2 linked regions of the Macaca fascicularis genome follow. The protein of the gene in region 1 purifies or fractionates together with the protein of each later gene. This does not show direct contact. Links are inferred from orthologs where the notes say so. Each region holds a gene or a part of one and is shown on either strand. Other genes may lie near its edges.

What was found.
Region 2: the proteins of PIAS4 (region 1) and SMAD4 purify together in Homo sapiens (affinity purification with western blotting, with the first as the bait; 3 studies listed by BioGRID). This does not show direct contact. The link is inferred for Macaca fascicularis from reciprocal best matches to the Homo sapiens genes PIAS4 and SMAD4.

Annotation. Positions count from the first base shown.
Region 1 is NC_088393.1:4,740,525-4,744,337, forward strand, and holds part of PIAS4 (E3 SUMO-protein ligase PIAS4), read left to right. Parts: intron 1-1,755; coding exon 1,756-2,182; intron 2,183-3,052; coding exon 3,053-3,148; intron 3,149-3,813.
Region 2 is NC_088392.1:38,677,516-38,681,328, forward strand, and holds part of SMAD4 (mothers against decapentaplegic homolog 4), read right to left. Parts: intron 3,090-3,813; 5' UTR 2,963-3,089; coding exon 2,714-2,962; intron 1,006-2,713; coding exon 831-1,005; intron 399-830; coding exon 369-398; intron 1-368. UniProt on the Homo sapiens protein: In muscle physiology, plays a central role in the balance between atrophy and hypertrophy. When recruited by MSTN, promotes atrophy response via phosphorylated SMAD2/4.

The sequences.
Region 1 (3,813 bases):
GAGCCTCGGTTTCCTCACCTACACGATGGGTGTGGTCATTGTGAAATTAGCGACATAGGCCTCGCTGGTGCCTGGCAGGGAGCAGACGCTGGCATCCCGGTTCTTCACGGTCACGGGGCCGCGCAACCCTGATACGGGAAGAGGCTTCTCCCGAGGCTCTTAGGGCAGGACTGGGCCACCCACACGTGCGTCCCTGTCGTTTTGAGCCGGGACAGCCTCTTCGTCTCCAGCAGGATCCTGGCCTGGTACAGCTGGAAGGAATCAGAGTTGACAGATGAGGACCCCGCCAGCGGCCCCGGCTGCTGCAGCCTTGGTGTTGAAATGGGCGGCTAGGCTCCTGGCCTCACCCTGGGGCAGCCGGGAGCTGGAAACCCCAGCACTTCCTGGCACGGAGGCCGCAGTGTAGACACTCCAGTGGGACTGCCTCTGGCTTTGACCCTCAGGGTCTTTCGAGTGGAGTTTGGATGACTTATTGGTTTCTTCGGGTGCCTGCCAGCTTTGCTTACCACCCTTGACACTTGAGCTTTTTCTCCATTCCTCCTGGAAGTTTCTCTTTCCCACCACATCTCATTCATCCCAGGCCAGCTTCAGGGCTGAGGGTGGGTGGCCCCGAAACCCTGCCAGCCCATCCCTCGAGGACACCTGGCTTCTGCAGCCTGTTGAGCCCTCTTTCCCTTTCATGGTCCTACCCCTCATGGAGGGGAGGCCACTGCCAGGCTACCCCACATCAAACACTAGGGTCAGCTGGGCTCTGTTGTTTGGTTTGATTTTGCTGGAGAGGTACTGTCGGGGGATGAGGGCCAGGTCCTGCCAAGCCTCATTCGTCACTTTGGCCCAGGTCCCGCAACAGCCCCTGTGGCTGCTGCCTTCCCCTCGGACCAGTCCCCCAGGGACTCAGGGCGATGTCTGGAGATGTATTTGGTTGTCATGAACTGTGGGTGTTTAGCACCCCACAGTGCCCGGGACGGCCCCAGCGTCCACAGGGCCGAGGGGACGAAACCCTGCTGGAATGATGGGTAGACGTTTCGGAGGCCCCCACAGGCCCGGCCCTGTGTTGCTGTCCGGAGGAGAGTGTGGCAGCAGGGACCGCCCCTGGCTTCAGAGCCAGGTCTGGGTTTGAATCTTGGCACTGCCACCTCTGAGCCTACAGTTCTTTTGTGACAGAGCTCACACACCAGCCTAGCAGGGGTGTTTTAAGGATCAGAGTTAAATATATAATCACATGACCGACTTGGTTCCCGGCAGGTGATTAGTGCTAAGTAAACTGTGGCTACCGTTGGCGAGACCGAAGGGAAAACATGTCTGTGGCTGACAAGGGTTGAGCGCCCGCCCAGCCAGTGCTTTATGTCATTATCCTCCCGACGAAGAGACTGAGGGTCAGAGAGGCACTTGGTGTTTGTCGGCAAGGCACTGGCAGAGGCCGTTTACAAGTAAAGCACGATTCCCAGTTCCTGCCCTGGGGATGCTTTCAGGCTGAAGACAGGGAAAGAGAACCTAAAATAGAAGGGGGGCCTAGTCAGAGGCGCTTTTGCTGCGTTGGCGATGCTGGGGAAAGTTTGATGAGGAGGAGGGAGGGGGCAGGGCTTTGCTGGGAGGGGGCACCGTAGGGGCAGGGCACTCCACCAGCCCCAGCCAAGGCTGGCGCTTCCTGGCGAGTGGGTGTCTCTCACGGCCCCCGCCTCAGGGCCTGGCCTCTGCGGAGTCCCCTGCCTCGCAGCTCTGCCTTCTGAGTTGTGTGTGCTTGCTCCTCCTCAGAACATGGTGATGAGTTTTCGAGTCTCCGACCTTCAGATGCTCCTGGGTTTCGTGGGCCGGAGTAAGAGCGGACTGAAGCACGAGCTCGTCACCAGGGCCCTCCAGCTGGTGCAGTTTGACTGTAGCCCCGAGTTGTTCAAAAAGATCAAGGAGCTGTACGAGACCCGCTACGCCAAGAAGAACTCGGAGCCTGCCCAGCAGCCGCACCGGCCCCTGGACCCCCTGACCATGCACTCCACCTACGACCGGGCCGGCGCTGTGCCCAGGACTCCGCTGGCAGGCCCCAATATTGACTACCCCGTGCTCTACGGGAAGTACTTAAACGGACTGGGACGGTTACCCGCCAAGACCCTTAAGCCAGAAGTCCGCCTGGTGAAGCTGCCCTTCTTTAACATGCTGGACGAGCTGCTGAAGCCCACCGAGTTAGGTGAGTGGCCGCCCCGGGGAGGCTGCGACGGGAGGCCTCACCTAGGCCCTGTCGCCCAGCCCAGCCACGCAGCCCACCTTTGGTGATGTTCTCTGGCGCGGCCAGGGTGGGAGCCACGGTGGCCAGGGCTGTCCTTCCCTGGAAGCAAAGGGACCATCTTTGATATTGGTCACCCCTTGCTGTGGTACAAGTTACCCTGAAATGGAGCAGTGGGCGTCTGTTAGCTCTCAGGAACCAGCGAGCCGCGTTGCGGGGCGTTGGGGCTCGGGGGCTCTCATGAGGCTCAGTCAGGCCGGAGCCACCTCATCCGGAGGCTCGACCAGGGCTGGAGCAGCCACTTCCTCGTGTGGTGGCTGGCAGGCTGCAGCTCCTCACCGGCTTTTGGCCGTCGTCCCCAGGTCCTCACTGTGCGGCCTCCTGCACGGGCTGCCCGGGCTTCCTCAGCCTGGTGGCTCCCTCACCCTAGGGTAGCGAGCGTGCACGTCCAGCTGGGAGCTGGAGCCCTTTTTATGACCCAGCCTCGGACACGCCTTGCCGTCTCCCCCATGGAGTCCATTGCTCACAGACTCTGTGGCACAGGCAGGGACCACACCAGGCTGTGACTGCCAGGGCCAAGGGTGACCAGGGTCACCTGGGAACCTGGTTTCCCTGCTTATTCCCCATGGAAAGGGGGCTGGCCAGTGGCATCGGCCTTCCCTCCTTCCCCCAGGCTCTGGTTCCTCGCTGGCAGCCTGCAGGTATGGCCTTGGTCAGCGGGCTCAGGTCACTGCCAGGCTGTGCGCACCAGGCGTGCTGGGGGCTCAGGGCGATCCCAGGCAGAGGAGAGGTGCTGGGCTCCACGCTTCTCTCTCTCATGTCTTTGTCTGCAAGCACTGACTGAGCAGGAGTGTGTCAGGACCTCGCAGCCCGCAGCAGTGTGGACAGGCCCCTGGCGCCTCCCAGCAGCCGTGACCATTCAGGCTGCAGGTGGGTATCAAGCCCGGTCTCTGCCTCAACCATAGCCCTGAGCTCAGGGCCAGGGAGGCCAGAGCAGCCCCAGCCCCCAGGGCAGGGAGAGTGTGCAGCCTCTGGGACTCCCAGTTAGGGAGCGGAACATCCTGGGCCTTTTGCGGACCTGTGCCCCAAGGCGCTCAGATTTTACCAGGTCCTCTGTGTGCCTGGAGGTCTCTTCTTCCTGCCTCCCTTCCCCTGCCCCCACTCTTTCCTTCACAGTAAACGTCGCGCAGTAGACGTCGGAGTGCAGTAAACGTGGGAGTGCCTGCTGGGTGGGTGCGTGATGGGCACCAGGCATGGACCCGCAGCAGGGAACGGGACCAAGGCCGCGAGGTTCAGGAAGCCTCTGCACGCCCCCTCCCACCCTGCTGACCCAGCGACCTGCCTGGTCCCTGCTGTGGCCTGAGGGCTCCTCTCTGGCACGCTTCAGTCCACTGGGTGCCAGCTGGCCCCACTCCCCTGCCCCGGGAGGCAGGGTCAATGGGGGTGTGGGGAAGGGGAACTGGCCGCCATTCCTCTCCCACCTACAGCCCTGGGACTTTGTGAGGTTAGGTTGGAGGGGCTGGGCTTCCAAGTGAGGTTGGAGGAGGTGGAGGAGGTGGAGGAGGTAGGAAGATGCTGCTGGTTGTTCCTGAGAC
Region 2 (3,813 bases), on another chromosome or scaffold:
GTTATACGTGATTCCATATTACCAAACGTTCTGGGTACTTAACACCCATTAAAACTGGTTCTGTGAGATTTTCTTCAAAAATGGGTCTTAACGCAAAAAATATTCTTTGTATTTGTTTTTGGTACATTCCTCTATCATGTTTTTTACAGTACTTTAGTTCATAAATTGTAGTTCATATACAAAGAGCAAATAGCCAATTTAAATCCAGTTTTAAATGCTGACGTGCCCCATAACCCCAAAATCTAAATTTCCAAATCAGTAAGTTATTTTCTTGTTAATGTTACTGCCGCCCACACAAACTAATTCTAGGTCAACGAAAAAACAGAGAGGATAGGACAAAAGAAAGTAATAAGAAACAGATTACCTACCATTACTCTGCAGTGTTAATCCTGAGAGATCTTAATTGTATAAAAGGGAAAACAAATGAAACATTAATCATTACAATGAAAATATTTTCCATTTAACAGAGAATGTCAAGTTAAACCAGAGATTACAAAAGTTCATGAACTATTTCAATTCAGAAGTAGCATAAACACTATCTAACAATACACATACTAAGTATTCAAATTTATAATGCTTTCCATCTTATTTCTCAAAAACAATGTTCTAAATGGGCAAAATATGAACTATAATACTTGGTTTTAGCAGTCAAAATATAAGTTTGTTCCTAAGTTCAAATTAAAACACGTATATTAAAAATGTCTGATTCTTTAACCTTATTTAAAGTCGTGGGCTATCTTCCAAATTTATAATTTAACTTACAAAAATTAAAACACTATTGAGATCCTTTTCCCTTTATGTTTCTTAGGATAAAAGCAAAGTCTACTTACCAATTCCAGGTGATACAACTCGTTCATAGTGATATGGATTCACACAGACACTATCACATTTTAAGTCAAATGCATACTGACAATATTTAACATGTTTTAGTTCATTTTTGTGAAGATCAGGCCACCTCCAGAGACGGGCATAGATCACATGAGGAAATCCTTTCCGGCCAGCCACCTAGAAAAATAAACGACCATTTATTCATCTGTCACATTATGCAAGACACTTTTATATATATTCTGATTTAATCCTCACAATCCTACCAAGTCAGTATTACAATCCCCACTTCATAAATGAGAAAACTAAAATTCAAAATAACTAACTTGGCCATGTCATGCATCAGACCTGTAATTTAAACCTTGGTATAATTTCAAGGCCTGTGTTCAGGTTTTAAAAATGCAAAAAGTGGCTGGGCATGGTGGCTCACACCTGTAAGCATATCACTTTGGCAGGCCAAGGCAGGAGGATCGCTTGAGCCCAGGAGTTCATTACCAGCCTGGACAACATGACAAGGCCCTTGTCTCCACAAATAATAAAAAATTACCCAGGTATAGTCATATGTGCCTGTAGTCCTAGCTACTCAGGAGGCTAAGGCAGAAGGATTGCATAAGCCCAGTAGGTAAAGGCTGCAGTGAGCCATGTTTGCACCACTGCACTCCAGCCTGGGCAAGAGTGAGACCATGTCTCAAAGAAAAAAAAATGAAATAAATAAATATTTAAAAAGACTGTGTTGTAGAAACCATGTATAAAGTCTTGAAATAAAACTTTAAAATCTAAGACATAAAATGTCTGTAAGATTTATTTCAGCAAGGGAGATTATGAAGTTCTACCTGAAAAATGTGATCAATGAAACATTTGGTAACAGTGAAACATATCAGATTTCTAAATTATAAAAAGACTAAGTGTAATCCAATTGTTTAAATGTATATACGATATCAAAAAAGAAAGCAACATGGCTGGGCACGGTGGCTCACGCCTGTAATCCCAGAATTTTGGGGGGCCAAGGCGGGTGGATCACCTGAGGTCAGCGGTTTGAGACCAGCCTGACCACCATGGTGAAACCCGTCTCTACTAAAAATACAAAAATTAGCCGGGCGTGGTTGCACTCGCCTGTAGTCCCAGCTACTTAGGAGGCTGAGGCAGGAGGATTGCTTGAATCTGGGAGGTGGAGGTTGCAGTGGGCCAAGATCGCACCACTGTACTCCAGCCTGGGTGACAGAGCAAGACTCCGTCTAGGGGAAAAAAAAAGAAAACAACAGGCTACAAAAATGAAAACCAAAGTGCTAAAGGTAGTTCTTGCAAAGTGTGGGTTTTCTTCTGCTTTTTATTTTTATTTTCCAAATTTTCTCCATTGAACTTTTTTCTGATAGAACATTAAAAAACTTTAAAATTTTGTCTTTTGCGGCCGGGCGCGGTGGCTCAAGCCTGTAATCCCAGCACTTTGGGAGGCCGAGACGGGCGGATCACGAGGTCAGGAGTTCGAGACCATCCTGGCTAACACGGTGAAACCCCGTCTCTACTAAAAAAAATACAAAAAACTAGCCGGGCGAGGTGGCGGGCGCCTGTAGTCCCGGCTACTCGGGAGGCTGAGGCAGGAGAATGGCGTAAAAACCCGGGAGGCAGAGCTTGCAGTGAGCTGAGATCCGGCCACTGCACTCCAGCCTGGGCGACACAGCGAGACTCCGTCTCAAAAAAAAAAAAAAAAAATTTTTATCTTTTGCATATTCTTCCACAAATTCCCATAACGCGTATTTGTACAGGATGCACAGTATCTGAAGAGATGGAGCATGCATTAAATTACCCTGTAGTAGAGCTTGAAAGGAAACTTAGCAAGTTTTTAAATCTGCCAACACAGAGGGTATAGAAAAACTCTTGTAAGACTAACCTGAAGCCTCCCATCCAATGTTCTCTGTATGGTAACACATTTACTAGGATGAGCTCCATTTGTAGTTATAGCTGTTATTAAAGAATCCAATTCATCTTTTTTCTCCTTCAGCTTCTTTACCAAACTTTCAATTGCTCTTTTTGCAAATGTTTCACTCTCTCCACCTTGTCTATGGCACATCAAACTATGCACAATGCTCAGACAGGCATCATTACTTGTTGGTGTATTCGTAATAGACATATTGTCCATTTGTTCAAGTTTTTCCTTTTAAATCAAATATGTCTCCAATTTCTGGAGCAATTTTGATCTTTTGGAAACAGTGAAAAACAACAGCTAAGGTTGCAAGGAAAATTGTTAGTCATGTATTCAGGATAACCTAAAAAAGAAAAAAAAAAAAAGACACACATGAGAACACATTTCACGAAGTAGAGGGAAAAAATGAAATTGCTCTGGTTAAGTAAGAGATTCAATGCACATAATTAAAATTTGATGCTCAGAGTTGAAAATTACTTAAAATTCTTATAAAATATTAACCATTAAAAATAATTTTAAAAAATAAAATTACTTTATTGTCACTGTTTTTGACATTCCAAAACTATTAAAGTTAGGTCTTCTCATTATGATAGTGGCACACTCAATCAAGTCTTACTGACTTTACTAGTCACCCTAAAGGAAATCTCACCAGCACTTTTTTAAAGGATTACTTATGAGGAACAGCACTAGTTAAACCTAAAAGTCTATTACTAATATTTATGAAAAATTTACCATCCCCTGATATTAAATGCTACCTAGCAGTTAACACTCACCTTTGTTAAAAGAGACTGATAAAAAAAAAATTTTTTTAGAAATGAACAAATGGATTCTAAAAGATACTTCTCCAAAGATGGTAGCCAGTAAGCACATGAAAGATGCTCAACATTAGACATCATGGAAATGAAAATCAAAACCACAATGAGCTACCACTTCATACCTACTGAGATGGATAAATCAAAAAGACAATAAGTACTGAAGAAGCAGAGAAACTGGACCCTCATTCATTGCTGCTGGGATTACAAAATGGCACAGGTACTTTGGAAAACAGTCTGGTATTAATACAAAAT